Caenorhabditis elegans: one gene and its partners. The protein of the gene in region 2 interacts with the protein of the main gene of each other region in a pairwise test. Each region holds a gene or a part of one and is shown on either strand. Other genes may lie near its edges.

Region 1 (4,589 bases), on a different chromosome or scaffold from region 2:
GTCAACTGATTTCGAATGGTTAAGAACGTGCTGACGTCACATTTTTTGACCAAAAAATTCCCGCATTTTTGTAGATCAAACCGATTTATTAATATTACTGTCTTGTATAAATGTAAGGGGGAAAAGGCAACATATGGTTAAGCCGTCGGCAACGACGCAAACAAATGGTCAGTTGAGAAAGTGTTTGAACACGAGAGATTACGCCTTCTGGAGACGCAGACGCGCAAGCGCACATTGCCACAGGGTCAATAAATGTTTTCACGTGAGGAACGGGGGTAAAGAAATTCCTAATTTTCAGTTTTGGAATATGTATCATTAAAAATTATTTTCATGTTGCTAGTACGTCTTATAGAGAAGCTTCGAATTCATTTTATACATTTGAATAATAATGAATTTTTCAAAGTTTTACACATCAAAATGATCAAAATGATGTGTAAAACCTATAAAATTCAATATTATTCAAATGTATAAAGTGAATTCGAAGCTACTCTATAAGACGTACTAGCAATATGAAAATCATTTTTAATGATGCATTTCCTAGTACTAAGGAACATCGTATGAGGATTTAAATAAATAAAAAGTTTCATTGAAATTAAGTGAAAACATCATAGAGATCATGGAAAATAAGTGAGACCTTGGTAATCAGATTGTTTTAAATATCAGAATATGAAAATATGAATTTATGCTTTCAATTCCTCTGGCTTTGATTCAGTTGGCGTCTCTGTCAAGCGTCGAAGTTCAGATGCGACTCCATTTCCGATTGCAGTCAATTGGGGGAGCCAAACCCGTTGAGACACGATTCCAAGTCCATGTGAAGCTGATGAAAAGGTCTCCATTCCATTGTTCAGTCGCATGTTGTTCGACGGTTTTGGCTCGATTCCAGTGATCGGAGGGACGACTGATGTGAAAACTGATTCAAGTGCTGACATACATTCTCTGAAATATTTGGAATTTGGCGTCAGAATTGAGAAATTGGAATATAGTCAACTTACGTGAAATCCTTATCATTCATCAACGCATCCAGATCTGCATCCTCGTCAGCCAATGCTTCATGAGCAACTTCTTGAATTATATCTTGAACTGGATAATCATCTCGTACAGCTGTTCCAAGATCAAGTCCCAAATGAACAGCTTCCGCTTCGACCAAAGCGATCACTTTGTTGGGAAAAGCCTTCTGTTTCGCATTCAGTTGAACCTTGATTCCATGATCTCTCAGTTGAGCGCGCATCAGTTCACCTCCATTCTTCAGTTTTGGCCTTTTAAGATTGCATGCGATACTCGAACTATTGAGCTTCTCCGGACTTTGCAATCTTCGTCTCATTTCCTCGACTGTGACCTGGAAGATTATTTAAATTTTAATATTGAACTTCTACCGTAAACGTACAAAATAACATGTCTGATTCTGTCCCATAGATAGTCTTCCATGAACCACATCAAATGCCTGATCTTTCGGACTTTCCAGTTCAAATCCACTCGGAACTGCATTCTCAATAACCGGAGTCAAATTAATGTTTTTTCGAACATTATTGCTCATTTTCGGAGGCGGCTTGAAAGTGCTCGGGTCCTGTTCAGTGACCGGATTCGGGTTGAGAAGACCCGCCAGCTTAATCGCAAATTGTGCCTCCTCGGAGAGCATCGGTGCGTATTCGAAAGGTCCACGTGGTGGTTGCAACTTTGCATCATCAGACGTGATTTTTCCTTTTAAAAGTTGTGCCAAAAGGGAGTTGTCTTCTTGCTCGGCAACGGCGGGTTGGGTAGAGCACTCTGCAGAGCTTGAAGGGCCAGTCTCTTTTGTGGCGGGTACTGTAGGTACTGTAGGTTCCACAGGTCCCACCACGGGTTCCGTTGGAACAGTAGAGTTGAGCGTGGTGAACATCTGAAAAAGTAATAAATGAATAAATTAAAATACGCGAATGGATTCAAAAGCAGACAATATAAATTTACAGAGTTTAACAAAAAAGTTGATTGTGACGAATTTTCGCTTCTTCATAATATCCTTTTTTGAATAATTTGAATTTCCGCACTTTAGCCACTTAACCACGCCCATTTTTCTGTGCCGCACTTTGGTTTTTTTTATCAATTTCGGCAGAAAGTTGAAAAATTCGTCAGAAATTAACTGTATTTCTAAAACTTAATTTTGTGGGATTTCAGCATTTGGATCCATTTGAATATTTTAAAGATGGGGTACCGAAATCTGAACCCTTGCTTTTTTAGACCCAAAATGACTCAAAACTACCGAATTGTGTAATGAGACGTTTTGGAAATTTCTCAAAAAAAAAAGTTATGGTGGCTCAAAGTTCTGGAAAGAAGGCTAATTTTCAGCTAAAATCAACATTTTTGTCTAATTCTCGGTGTCGCAGCGTCTGGAACTTAATTTTGATTCAATTATCACTTTTTAAAGAATATTTTTGTTTTTTATTAGGCGTTTATTCGTTGATTTAAGTACATTTATTGTCAGTGGGGCACAAAAATGTAACTTTTATTTGTGTCCCACTTACCGAAAATATGTTTAAATCAACGAATAAACGCTTAATAGAAGACCGCAATAGTCTTTAAATAGTGATAATTACATAAAAATGATGTTCCAGACGCTGTGACACCGAGAAGTTGACCAAAATTTTGATTTTAGCTGAAAATGTGCCATTTTTCCAGAACCTTCAACTGCCATAACTTTTTTTTGAGAAATTTTCAAAACGTCCCATTACCAATTCGGTATTTTTGGGCTATTTTGGGTGTAAAAAACAAAGTCTCAGATTTCGGTACTCCAGCTTGAAAGTAAAATTGTTATTGCCAGACCTCCAAATTATGGAAAAAAAGCAAAAAAAAAGCTGAAAAAAAGGGAAGAAAGAAATGACATTAATAAGGTAGATCGAATGCCTTCTACAATATTTGACCTCATTGGTTGTAAATCGTTTATGGTGTGGAGATCAAATCTGTGCGCGCTCACCTGTATATCCATTCTTTTATTATTGATCTACTCTTCCAGTGTTGCAAAAACATCTGTTTTCTAGGTGACATCTCCAGAAGAATGTGCCAAGTAATGGAATGGAAGAGAGAGAAAATGTAGAGAGAGGGAGAGGGATGAGACGACGAGAGGAAGTGACGACACTCCGCTTTCCTCCGCTTTTGGATTTATTGGAATTTCAGAATTGTTCGTTTTATAAGTTTAATTAAATATTAAATTTTAATTTTAATTTAAAATATTTTTATTTTTAAAAATATAATAAAAACACATTCAAAACATTCTATACATTTTTTCAAAAAACCAATCAAAGGAGGAGTTTTATTGCTTTATTATACTCAAAAAGGCCCGAATACCCCGAATTTTATAACGAGAAAAAAATTAATTTCGAAGAAAAAATAGAATTTTCCCAATTTTTCGTTACACAACGGTTAGAAATTGATTTTTATTTGATTTTTCTTCTATTTTGAATATTTTTATTGGTTTTCTTGCGTTGTTTCGTTAATTTATCATCTAAAATTTTAATTTTTAAATCCAAACTATTAAATCAACAAAAAAACAGAAGATAAATAGGAAAATGAGCAAAATAGGGCAATAGTCAGATAAAAATCAATTTCCGATCGCTGTGAAACGGAAAAGTTGGTGAAATTGGAGATTTTAGCGGAAATAAACCTTTTAAAAGCATTTTTGAACAGTCTTGTTATGAAATTCGATATTTTGGGACCATTTTTAGTTTAATAAAGCAAAATAATTTTTGATTAGCTACTCTTTTAAAATTAAACTTGTTAAAATTGTTTAAATACATATTTTTAAAAATAATCTGGAATTTTTCAGAGACAATGGATGATTCTCTTGGAGTATCAGAAGTTGTAATGATTCCATTCATGAAACGAGAAGTTCTCCAGCAAATATGTGCGATTTTAGATACGGATAACACTTGGGAGACGATTGGTTCGGACTTTTTTATAACAAATCATTGAAATTTCGCGGTTTTTGCTCCAAAAATAGGGTCTCGAAACGACAAATTTTTGTTATATGCGAAACGGTGTGCGCCTTTAATTCTTAAAGCACTTTAAAGAATAGTTATTTCAAACATTCGAATCTGCGGATTTTTCATCGAATTTTTTTATAGTTTTCCTTTAAAGGTGGTGTAGTCGAATTTTTGTTATTGCTTTATTAGACTCAAAATTGTCTGAAAACACCGAATTTCTTAATAAAACTTCTAAAAAAAGTTATGACAGCTTAAAAAATGGCCTAAAATAAGTTAAAATTTGAAATTTGACCGACTTGTAAAGCGGCTGGAAACGAACTTTTTTGAAATCACCGTCTAATTGTAGGTATACCAGTTAATTATCTTGCGTTTTCAACTTGATTTAAGTATTTTAAAGTCTATGGACGACGAGATTTTTAACAATTTTTTTAAACCAAATCTCGCCGTCCATCGACTTTAAAATACCTAATTGTAAAGTAGTAGTCGAAAACGCAAGTTAATTGACATGTATACTCAAAATTTGACGGTGATTTCAAAAAAATTGTTTCCAGCCGCTTTACAAGTCGGTCAAATTTCAAATTTTAACAAATTTTAGGTCATTTTTTGAGCTGTCATAACTATTTTTTGAGAAGTTTT
Region 2 (3,189 bases):
AACACGGTACCCGGTCTCGACACGACCAGTTTTTGTAAATGCGGTGTGCGCCTTTGAAGAGTACTGTATTTTCAAAAACTCTGGTTTTTTTATCGATATTTCATACCTTACGCAGCAACCCGAGTTTAAAGTTACAGTACTCATTAAAGGCACACACTTGCATTCAACAAAAATGTGTCGTGTCAGGACCGGGAACCACAATTTCAAAAGTTCAAATTTTAAAAAATTTCAGCACAATTTCCCAGCCAGAATTCACCAGCTTAACCTCCTCTCTGCCCAAAGATGATTTTTATACGAACATCGTATTCCAGTGCTATAATCAATCATTTTATCACATTCGAGACGCCGGCCTTCTTTCTGCAGAATCCACGTGTGTAAATGCTTTTGATTGTGAGCTTTCACAACGAGAAGCGATGCCGTGTACCCATTCAGATGCCACGTATCACTCCGGGCCGCCCATGTTTCCAATCACATTCCATTGGGCGAGTGATGCATTCTTTAGTGATGAGATTGGATGCTATCAGTAATTGGATCTTTTTTTTAATCAAAATAATGTATTAAAGCTTATCGAAAATTGAAAATGTAAATTAACATAACATGAAAATCAAAAAGTGAGCAGTGAGGTAGAACTATAAACATAATGAAGACACTCGAACATCAACGATTACTCAATTTCCGGCTTGATGCGCTTTTCTGGGATCATGGCTGGCTCGGCTGGCTGGATCTGAAAAATTATTTTTTGAAAATTTATCTTTAAAAAAAATGTTTTAATTAGCTACCTGCTGAGCTTTCTTGTAGCTCTGAAGCGCCGTCGCAAGAGCATTCGCACTTTCGATGATTATGACCCATGTGTCGACTTCAGTGATCTGCTGATCGGTGAAAAAATTTCTCTGTAGAATTGTGTCGACTGCATTGTTGAAGAATCTTTTGTACTCGAGAGCTTCTTCATTGGGCTCTGGCTCTGGCTCTGGCTCCAGCTTCAGCTCCAGCTCCGGTTGGGGCGATCCTGAAGCGTCGCGGGAAGATGAGGACGTTGTTGAATTGGAAGTCGACGGCGACAGAGACTTGTTCAAAAGACGATTAAGCTTGAAGCCGGCTCTTTGAATTGGCGATTTCAGCAGTGATCCCGGTGAATTGCCGGATTTCGCAATCGGGTTGGCGTCTCCTGGAGCTCCGGTTTCCTGTATGGCCTTTGCGTGTTCGGTGAGGGCTTTTTTGTTGGAAAACGTCCAGTTACAGCATCCGCAGGTGTATACTTGACCCAAGTAGTGCTCATTTCTCATGTGATCACGGACGGTCTCCTTCAGGTAGAGCTTACGGGCGCACAGCATGCAGGTGTACTCGTCGCTATGCACCAGTTTACGATGGCGGTTGAGAGAAGCGCCGTGCTTGAAGTTTTGGCCGCAGGACAAGCAGAGGAAATCGCCTGAAAAATGGAAAAATTAATGTTTTTTTTTAATTACAAAAAAAAATAAAATAAAACTCACCTCTGAGATCCGGCCGCTTAAGCTCGCTTTCTTCTTTGCGAAGCAGTGACGATTTTTCAGCGAATTCCGTTTCGAAGCGGTCGATAAGGGGCTTGTGATCGGAAGTATCCATGAAGCTGATTTTCTGAAAGAAGAGGACATTTTGAAGAAAAATTTTAGAATTTTACATCAATTTACACTCAAAATAATAAAACTGCGTTGCGTGTACGCCAAAATAGGCCCCGCCTTTTTCTCGTTCACTCACGGGGAAAAGGCAAAAAGCGGCTGGTGTAGCCAATATCAGCAGCCGACATCATTCGAGGTCCGCGCACCACACTATTTTTCTCACTGTTGGCGTGGCGAGCTGTCCCCCCCCTCCCATATTTTTGCCTTTTTCCCGTGAGTGGACGATTAAAAGGCGGGGCCTATTTGGTCGTACACGCAACGCAGTTTTATTATTTTGAGTGTAGAAGAAAAAAGAATTTTTTTACTGACCTACAAAATTTTTGCAAGGATAGTAGACTAAAAAAGCTTCTCACTAATCACATTAATCATATAATTAATAAATAATATTTTTAAACGAAAAAAATCTGTAAAATTAATTAATTCAGGGTCGACGTCGTTTAAAAGTGTTACTTCTTTGTTTCTACGCTTGTAAAGTAGGTTTTCAATCGATTATTTGAATTTATCTTAATTTTTTCTTTATATTTCAAAAAAAAAATACACTGAAAACATGAAAAATCGGTGAAAAATGAGTGAAAATAACAATAAATATTTAATTTTAAATAAAAATAAAAACGTGCAAGCGCGCTCCATCGAACGAATTCTCTTGGCGGTAATTCAAATTGCAGTTCGGGCAAAACTGAGATTTTTCCAATTTTCAAAAAGTCATATAAAATTTAGAAAAAAAAATTGAATTTTTTTACTATGATATTTGGCCATTGTGACACTATAGGCATGTTTTAAAGCAATTTTCCCACTGGCGCTACTTTGTGATTTGATTTATTTCGACATGAAAAAAAAGGAATACAAAACCGGTACAGTAAGTTACTGCAATTTCTTCATTTCAAGACCCATAAATATGCTCAGCCATATTAGCAACTTTATGCACCAGAAGCTTCTCCAGCTCCCTATCCAGCTCGGTTATAGTGAAGTTGTCGCCGTAAATCCAACCATTTCCGATACTATTTCTGACGGAGGTCATTCGGTAGTGTCTGAAAATGTCAGTGTCGATTTACGCGGCTCGTGTACTCCTCGAGGACAAGTGTGCGTTTTTTGGCAAAAATTTCCTGATTTTTGGCCATTTTCGGTAATTTTTTCTACAGAATTTCCGCCTAAAACACTAAAAAATTAGAAAATTCAGTCTAAAATGCTCACTATTTTCAAAAATAATACACAAAAATCGGCAAGAATTTCAGTAAAAATTCAAAAATCTCTGCAAAAAACAAATGCACACTTCTCCTCGAGAAGTACACGAGCTGCTGCTTGAATTTACATATGACCGTGTTATTATACACACGCGAAACTTTGTGATTTTTGAGCTAAAAATACGATATCTGGTCTCGACACGATAATTTGTATTTTCGAAGAGGTGTGCGCCTTTAAGGAGTACTGTACGTTGGTGGGCTCTTCATAGTTCTTCGATAAAAAATATTATTCTGCAGAAAACAATCGAAAGAAAATTCCACTGCAACAAAAGTTTGCAATTACAGTACCCATTAAA
Region 3 (4,904 bases), on a different chromosome or scaffold from region 2:
TTCTCCTACTTCTTATTTGCTCAAAATTTGCGCGTCGAAATTTCTTCGTCGTGCGCTGCCCCTTCCGAATAATCAGATTCACCAATGTATAAAATAGGCCACGCCTCACTTTTTCCACACCCATCATCTTCCCTCAACTTTCCTCTTCTCAAATGCCTAATCAGCCAGTTATAACGAGGGTGCTCTTCGTGTGGCGCCCCGCCCATTTTATTGCTCCTCTCACGCTTCATTCTCACTTTTTCTGGGGATCCTTTTTTTTGCAGACCTAAAAATTTGAGCTCAGCCATATTTTTTTTGTAAATATAATCAAAAAAAAATAGACATTAGTCAAAAAAGTTGTTTTAAGCCTAAAAAAATTTTTCAGATAAAAAACGTTTTTCTTTAACTTTTTTGAACAGTTTTTCAGTGAAATATTTTTAAATTTTTATTTTAAAAAAATGTTTGTTTATCTAAGCCTAAGCCTGAGCCTAAGCCTAATAACCCTAAATAGCGTCAGTGTGGGAGCTCACGCTCCCCCACTGACGCCAAGCCTAAGCCTACGCCTAAGCCAAAGCCTAGGCCTAAGCCTGGGCCGAAGCTGAGACCTAAGCTTAAGCCTAAGCCTAAGACTAAGACTGAGTTCAAGCCTAAGCCTAAGACTAAGCCTGAGTCTCAGCCTAAGCCTAAGCCTAAGCCTAAGCCATTTTTAAAAAGCTTAAAAATTTTTGCAATTACTATTTTTTCTGAAAATCTGTAAAAATATCGAATTTTTAGAGTTGCTATAAAATTTAAAATAATATTCAAAAAATAATCCGAAAAAATTAAATTTTTTTTCTCAAAACGTAGATCATACAGAATCAGCTTTAAAAAATTCAAACCATTTTTCGTTTCAAAAATGTTCAGAAAATTTGTAAAACTTGAGTTTTGAAGAAAGTTTTCATAAACTAGCTCTTGAATAGGGTTTTTAAGTAGGCGTTAAAACGCTTGCCTGCCTGACCTTCAGGCGACTTTCGCCTGCCTGCTTGACTTTCAGACGTTCTCTGCCTGCCTGCCTGACTTTAAGGCGACCTCCGCCTGCCTCTCGCCTCAATCCGAGCCTTATCTCTTAAAATGTTTTTCATCAAATTGATAAAAATACGGAAATTACAAAATTTTGTAAGTTCATGCCAAAATGCAGGCATCAGGCCCTGAGGCCACGCCTGCCTAGGCCTCCGACTTTCGTTCTACAATTGTCGTTGCCGTTTCCTTTATCCCATTTTCATACCCCAAAGTTATGATTTTTCTTACACCCCTTGCGCTGCTGCTGCTTCCGCTCCCGTGATCTTATGAATCAGTAGTCAGAACTGCAGGTGTGAATCTCCACAATGATCACCCAATAAACGCGAAACACCATTAGAAACAAAGTGTCCCCCGTTTTTTTTTTCTGAGAGTGTCGGCACCCCCCTAACATATGCGGGGAACATTGTCTCAAGTTTTGTGTGCTCCTCCAGCTCCTCCATATGGTTACCGTAGTCCCCTGTCAGTGTTGTGTAATTGTTGTTGTAACTATCCCCCGAATACCTCTCCTCACATTCATTCACAACACAGGTGTCAACTCAACTCTCAGTGCTCATTTGAAGTTTATGAAGTTTAGCTTCCGGGGATGGCTCTCCTGGGCTCCCCGCTCCCTCGAAAATTTAATTAATTGCAAGCACATGTGGTGGTGGTGGGGCGAGCTCCGCGCTTCCCCCCCCGCCCCGATTCTCTCTCTCTCATTTGCGACTCATTAGATTTTAAATCACTCTCAAACTTTCCACTTTTCCAACTTTCGCGTTTTTTAAATTTTTTTTTCACTTTTTCCTCACAAATTCATCCAAAAAAATTTCCAGAGTTGCCCCGCCCATATATTGGCTAAATGGTAGAATGGACGTGGCACTTTTGACAATGGATGACAACAACAAACCGCCGACAAGTTCAGAGTCTACGGAGAGTAGGGGTGAGTTTGGCCGGGGGACCGATAATTTTTAGGCCAAGACTTCTTTTTTTTTAAATCATTTTCAAAGGTACGTTACCTTCACGTGGTGCCAGGTTGTCCCATTGCTTTTTGATCTACAGAAAATGCGGGATTTTTTCCCCAAAAAATGTGACATAAGCAAGTTTTTAAATCTTTTCTCCCGCATTTTTTTGTAGATCTACGTAGATCATACTCTGACACCACGTGTACCTTGAACCTCCTGGCTTTCTGAAACTAGAGTTCGTCGCTAGAGCGCATTTGCATTGTCGTGGTATTTAATTTACAGTACCGCCAGAATCATGTCGCGCCGCTTGTAGTCTAGTGGTTAACACGCTTCAGCTCTAAACAATAGGTCCGGGGTTCGATTCCTTGCAAGATGAAATTTCTTTCTCAAGATGGAGGTACATATGTGCTTTAAATGTGCACTAGAGATAGCGAAACTGATACCATGGTCCGACATGTACAGGGTTCCGCGCGCGCCTAGGGCCTCCAAAACGCCTGCTGCTCCAGTTTTGCGGCGACCTCCGCCTAACTCGCGGCGCGCCTTCTGTATAGTCACGGCCTTCTGTCTTCCCTCATAAATTGAAATGGAAGAGTTTTTGCCGAACTAGGCCATCTTGGCTCGGTCACATCTGGGCTCGATTTTAGTTGTAAAACTAAATGTATTTGTCCGTGTGGAGTGCACGACTTGCCCACGCGTTGACCGGCGGGCGATTGCCAATGGAGCGCGAAAAATTCAATAAGGAAGGCCAGAACCCCGTGTATAGTGCCGCGCGTGGAGCCCGAAAAGTGTCAGCCGCGGCGGAAGAACCACATTCCATAGGACTAAAAAACTAAAGTTCTCTCTTTCAGAAACATCACCACCAATGATGCCAGATTCTGCGGAGATAATGCGACTTCTTACGGATCCTTCGACGGCTCAGATGTTTGGTAGGTCATAGATCAAATTTTTTCCGCAATTTCCCGAAAAATTTCAGCCAACGAAAACACAAAATGTCAGCTGGGACGGATTCTCGCCGCGTCAGGCTTCGACGAGGCGAGCCTCTCCTCCTCGTTTCCGTTCGATCCGACGCTCGGCGCGTTCGCCGACATTTCCCAATTCTCATCACTCCGAAATTCGTCGAAAACGCTGAAATGTCCAAAGTGTAATTGGCACTACAAGTACCAGGAGACCCTTGAAATTCATATGAAGGAGAAGCACAACGATGTGGATGTCAAGTGCATGTTTTGTGCCGAGAACCGTCCCCACCCGAAGCTGGCTCGCGGTGAGACGTACTCGTGCGGTTATAAGCCATATCGATGCGATTTGTGTCGGTACAGTACGACGACAAAGGGCAATTTGAGTATTCATATGCAAAGTGATAAGCATCTTCATGCAGTGCAAGAGCTCCCGAATAGTATAGGTAGGTGGGGGGGGGAGGCGAAGGGTACTGTAGTTTTCGTGGTGGGACCCAAGAATTTGAATTTCACAAGAATTTAACTGTTGAACTCGAACTTTTCGATTCTAGGGTCTCGCCACGCAAAAACACTTACGCCAACTTTTTTGAACCCTAAAAAATGATACTCAAATTAGAGTTCTCAGTGAGCTAAATTCGATTTTACAGTATTTTTTTAATTTGACGTTCTGTGGGTCTTACACTCAAAGGGTACTGTAGTTTTCGTGGTGGGACCCACTTGTCCAAAAATGGACGTGATTATATTTGGATTAAAGCCCCTAACTTTTCTGATTTTTTTAATAAATTGGTTTTATTTTGAAAAGACTGAGAAAATTGAGTTTAGATCGAAATCAATAAAAATCGCGTCGAGACCCAAATTTCCCGGGTCTCGGCACGAAAATGGGGGAGAGGGTACTGTAGTTTTCTGGCTTCTCTCATAAATTGAAATGGAAGAGTTTTTGCCGAACTAGGCCGGCCATATCTGGGGTAGATTTACGGCGCGTTGCGTGTCGCGGCTCAATTTTTGTTTTAAAACATGAGGAAGACCAGAATCCCGTGTTTTCGTGGTGGGACCCAAATGGGTCATGATTATACTTATTTGAAAGGCCTTAAGCTGAATTCAGATTTAAGATTTTTATTATTTTAATTCAAAAATATCCTGAATTTTCCAGAATTCGCAGCCAACTTCGCGTGTGGTGCTCCAGTTAGCCGAAGTAGTCCAATCGAAGAGTCCGACGGATCCCTGGTCTGCTTGATCTGCGGTATCTTCGCCACCGAATCTATCGCCGAAATGATGGAACACGTGGAACAAGACCGTTCCAGGACGTTCCAAGGAGACGTTACCGTCCTAAACGGGAGCTTCCGGTGCCACTTGTGCCCGTATAATACCACATTGAAAGCCAATTTTCAACTACACACAAGGACGGATAAGCATCTGCAAAAGGTTCAAATTGTGAGTTTTGTATTCCCCTCTCATCATCTTCTTATTTTTATTGTGTCGCCCTTTTCCCATTTTTGTGTGTCTGTGTGTGTATGCGCACCGATTTGCATATACACATAAATTCATGATTTAATAGCGTAATGAGTAATATTTGCTTTGCCAAGGCTAACAGTTTTCGTATTTTAAAGCCTTTTTTCTACAATTTTTGAAAAAAAAATTCAAAAATTTGAACATTTCAATATATCCCTAGAAAGCTCAAAATTGTAGTGAAAATTTTGAATTCAGTACGCTGAGACCTTTAAAATAAGTATAATCATTACTAGGTTTTGGTTCTGACGCGAAAGTGTTCGTGGCGGAGCCCAAGCAAGGCGTAATTGATTATAGGGTCTTTGCACGCAAAAAATTTAAGGTCCGGTAGGCGTGGCGGGGAGTTTTTCTTGAATTATTTTAGTTTTTCATAAATTTTCAATTTTTTGGAATTTATTTTTCTCTCCCTTCCCCCGCGTAGTCTGAGCCTAAACCTAAGCCTGAGTCTAGGCCTAAGCCGAAGCCTAGG
Region 4 (3,594 bases), on a different chromosome or scaffold from region 2:
CGGAGAGGTGCAATGCGACATCTCGTTTTGCCTAAAACGATGAAAATGTGTATATTAATATTAAAATCAATATACAAACATTGACTGGATTATATCCCATTTCTCTTCCGAGTTGCTTATTTAATTCTTCAGATTCTCTCGTCAATTGTTCCATATCATCGAAAAGTTCGTAAACACTATTTTCTTTAATCATTTGATCAGTCTTCTCCAAAACTTTTTGTTGTGTTGATTTCGCCATTCGAGCCATCACAGCATCCACTGCAGCTTTATCCATGTTGAGTTTTCTATGAGAACTCTGAAAATTTTAGTTCTGGATAAAACGTGCAAAAATATCAAGCTTACCATTTTCCACAAATCCTGGGACTCTAACAATGATTTTGTGAATATTTCCAGAGTTGTGTCCAGCATTTGATTCAAGACTTCTTTTCTTTGCGACATGATATTGATTTTATCTAAAACGCGGAAAACTTACAAATACACTTAACAAGAAACTATGAAACGAAATTAAACAAGAAGTATTTTAAAAGTTATGGAACTTCACGCAGGAATAAATTTGAGCAGAAATACAAGTATTATGCATATTTATTTGTTAAATAAAATAAAGGAACATGAAATAGAACTATTCATCGCTTTCGTTTTCTCCTCCAAAACCAATTGTATGTGCGAAGTAGTTTAGATGAAGAGCGAACGCTTGTCTGTAATTATTACTGATCTTCAGAGCAAAATCTTCGAAATAGCCTACCGATTCTCAAACTTTCGGCCGCATCCAGAACATTTGAACGGATCGTCAATTTCGTGATATCCAATGTGCGTCATCCAGAGGATTGCGTCGGTGAAACTCTGTGAAAAATTACGTTTTTAAGATTTTCCAGAGCAAAAACCATACCATCAAGCAATGAGTGCATTGGTATTTCTCGTTATCATTCAATGGGAATAATTCTGCAATCACATCCGATAGTTTCGCGATCATCTCCGAATTGGAAGCTGATGATACAGACATAGCCATCTGAAAATTCAAGTTTCAACCTCTATCATGCTATAAATCCAACCTGCAATTGCTTTAAAATCCCATCATCTTCGTCTGCTTCATAGATTTCTTCCTTGACTTCGATTTCTAAAGCATCTTGAACATCGAATTGCTTTGATTCTTCCTTTGCTCCAACTGAAGTTTTTCTTTCCTTCCGGCTTTGATTCTTTTTCATTCGAAGGAAATCTTTCTGCTTGATAATCATTTCCTCCGCATATTCTTTAAGTTCTCCATGCTTGAATGTGTGATGGAATAGCATTTTACGGAAGGATACTGAAACTTCGGAGCAATCCTGAAATGTTTTGATTAGTTCTGTTTCAATCTATCGATATTTTACTTACCTTGCACTTTATCGATACTGTACCATTCACATGATGAGCTGTATTCGCATGATTCTCGCCCTCTAACATGGTCTCAACGAGTTGATCACATCCTTCGGCACGACAAGGTAGAGTTCTGAACGAAACAGTTTTTCAAAAATTTCAAAATATTTCTTGCAATTACCCTTTGCTGATGTGGTCGAGTGCGTGGAAAAACAGAGTATCCGTTCGATTGAACATTTTGTCGCAGAAATAGCACTCCAACAATTTGTCATCTAAAAATAAATATTGGTTTCATAAATCTAATCGCCTGAAACTAACTGTGCACTTTGATATGACAACGAAGGGATCTTTCAGACGTGAAAAATCGATCACATTGTTTACATTTAACTTTTACATCGGGGGAAGTTGTATTGGCATTCACCTGAAACGTTTTGATTATGATACTTAAAAGTAAAAATATAAAAGCTTTGAATAAATATTAATAATTACCTCGAGAATCGCGGATTCTTCCGGAAGGCCTTCCATTTAACACTGAATAATGATTCACCGTCACCGTCCATATCATCAATCTTACACGTCTCCATGATTATGAGTTGTCAAAAGGTCACGGGAATATTTGACAAGAAAAACGTTTGCGTGTCCTCATTCTTTCTTTTTCAAAACGCGTCGACTGCCGCCAAAAACGGCATTTGGCCTAGCTTTCCGAGAGACTCGGCCACGAATTGGGTACCTATCAAAAACTGATCGATTTGCATAATATTGGATCATAAATTGTAATTAGTTTCAATAAATACAATGCACAATGATATGTTTATTTGTTTTAATACAATTTCTTTTTGAAAATTGGTTTGTTATTCCGTTCAGAATCGAGTAAAGTGCGTGGCCTAGAAATTCCCGTTTTCTTTTGCCAAAATAATTGGCAGAGGTCTGCAGAGGTGCACTCAAAACCTGAACAAAGAGCAAGGAAAAGAGCAGCTGTCATTGACATACACCCGTTCATTCACAATATTTCATAACACAATATACACTCATATATATTTTATACACCTTTAATGCACATAGAATTACAAAGTTAGATATGAATCTCTAATCTATCCAATAAGTAGGTCGATTTACGCGCATCATTCATTACTCAATATCTCCTTTGACATTTGCAACAAACTTTAACTACTATTTCCCAAGAATGTCAAACAAAAACAGAAGACACCCAAGGGAAGCTGTTCATTTGTTTGTTGCGATTTTGTAGTATTTAATAAGACCGCATATAAATGTTTGCAATTTATGATTACGGTTCCCGATCTCGGCACACCTAAAACAGTTTTTAAAAAATGTCGCACATAAAAATGTGTGCCTTTGAGGAGTACTGTAGTTTCCACTTTATCTCGTTTCCTTGCACATTTTGCTGTTTATTAAATAATCTTTTTTCACAAGTATTAATAAGAATGCCAGAAAAAGGAAAAATTGAGACCGGGGACCGTATTCTGGCACGTTGCAACACTTGTTTGATGTTGATTGTCTTCTTGTAATCCTATATAAACCAATAGAGGGTTCAAAAATAAACTAGAGAAAGTTTCCGTGCGAGTTTGCTCATTCCAATAATATTTCTGGTATGCTCATGTTTCATCATTCTTGTAAAAACTATTAGCACTGCCTAACCCCCTTATGCAAATACATATGCAATAGATCTATATTTCCTCAGTTCTTCCCGTTTTTATCTCTATATCTCTTTCTCTTCCACATTATTTCCCCACACACAGTTTTCTTATCAGTTTGTATCACCTTTCCTCTCTTTTCTTTCCGTATACCGCCAGTGAGTCATCTACACACTTCATTCACTTCTCACTTTTTGATTCGAAACGACATTTCCATTTTTTTCATGGAGAGAAAAGGAAGAGTAGTAGAGTCAATAAATGGTCTTGAAGTGACATCTACTTCTTTTTTTTTGTTTTTATTTTCAAATCGGTCTTTACATTTTCAGCATATATTTTTTTATGTTTAGGATCTTGCGATAACCCCCTTATTCTTCTCACTACACATTTCACCAGATTCAGGCATAACATGGTTTTCATTGATGTTTTATAGGTCTTCGATTGAAATATATATTTTTACACACGAGAACAATCACATAACATTTTTTAAAAATGAGAAAAATTAAACTCGATCTGAAAAATCGATGGTAACTTCCCAAAAACAAAATTTTGAAACTACAGTACTATTTGAAGGTGCACATCGTTTAACGAAAAA

The links.
Region 1: the proteins of ztf-28 (region 2) and aptf-2 interact in a two-hybrid assay, tested with the Caenorhabditis elegans proteins (one large-scale study listed by BioGRID).
Region 3: the proteins of ztf-28 (region 2) and zfh-2 interact in a two-hybrid assay, tested with the Caenorhabditis elegans proteins (one large-scale study listed by BioGRID).
Region 4: the proteins of ztf-28 (region 2) and F26F4.8 interact in a two-hybrid assay, tested with the Caenorhabditis elegans proteins (one large-scale study listed by BioGRID).

The regions. Positions count from the first base shown.
Region 1 is NC_003282.8:13,412,996-13,417,584, forward strand, and holds aptf-2 (Transcription factor aptf-2), read right to left. Parts: upstream 3,057-4,589; 5' UTR 2,960-3,056; coding exon 2,948-2,959; intron 1,877-2,947; coding exon 1,385-1,876; intron 1,337-1,384; coding exon 993-1,336; intron 937-992; coding exon 681-936; 3' UTR 565-680; downstream 1-564. Other genes in the region: Pelle-like serine/threonine-protein kinase pik-1, read left to right, coding at 3,802-3,913. UniProt on the Caenorhabditis elegans protein: Sequence-specific DNA-binding protein that interacts with enhancer elements to regulate transcription of selected genes. Required for neuroblast and epidermal morphogenesis, perhaps acting in cooperation with transcription factor aptf-4.
Region 2 is NC_003283.11:2,089,091-2,092,279, reverse strand, and holds ztf-28 (C2H2-type domain-containing protein), read right to left. Parts: upstream 1,612-3,189; 5' UTR 1,600-1,611; coding exon 1,488-1,599; intron 1,427-1,487; coding exon 780-1,426; intron 725-779; coding exon 665-724; 3' UTR 540-664; downstream 1-539. Other genes in the region: gtnt-26 (Glycosyltransferase family 92 protein), read left to right, coding at 233-527; gtnt-27 (Glycosyltransferase family 92 protein), read right to left, coding at 2,533-2,680.
Region 3 is NC_003279.8:801,521-806,424, forward strand, and holds the start of zfh-2 (Zinc Finger and Homeobox), read left to right. Parts: upstream 1-1,847; 5' UTR 1,848-1,881; coding exon 1,882-1,954; intron 1,955-2,279; exon of another isoform or gene 2,280-2,352; intron 2,353-2,824; coding exon 2,825-2,902; intron 2,903-2,949; coding exon 2,950-3,375; intron 3,376-4,079; coding exon 4,080-4,360; intron 4,361-4,898; exon of another isoform or gene 4,899-4,904.
Region 4 is NC_003281.10:4,903,433-4,907,026, forward strand, and holds F26F4.8 (C2H2-type domain-containing protein), read right to left. Parts: upstream 2,042-3,594; 5' UTR 1,876-2,041; coding exon 1,840-1,875; intron 1,772-1,839; coding exon 1,669-1,771; intron 1,623-1,668; coding exon 1,532-1,622; intron 1,484-1,531; coding exon 1,369-1,483; intron 1,320-1,368; coding exon 1,050-1,319; intron 1,007-1,049; coding exon 887-1,006; intron 841-886; coding exon 743-840; intron 696-742; coding exon 620-695; 3' UTR 565-619; downstream 1-564. Other genes in the region: kbp-2 (Mediator of RNA polymerase II transcription subunit 21), read right to left, coding at 1-31, 80-295, 343-438.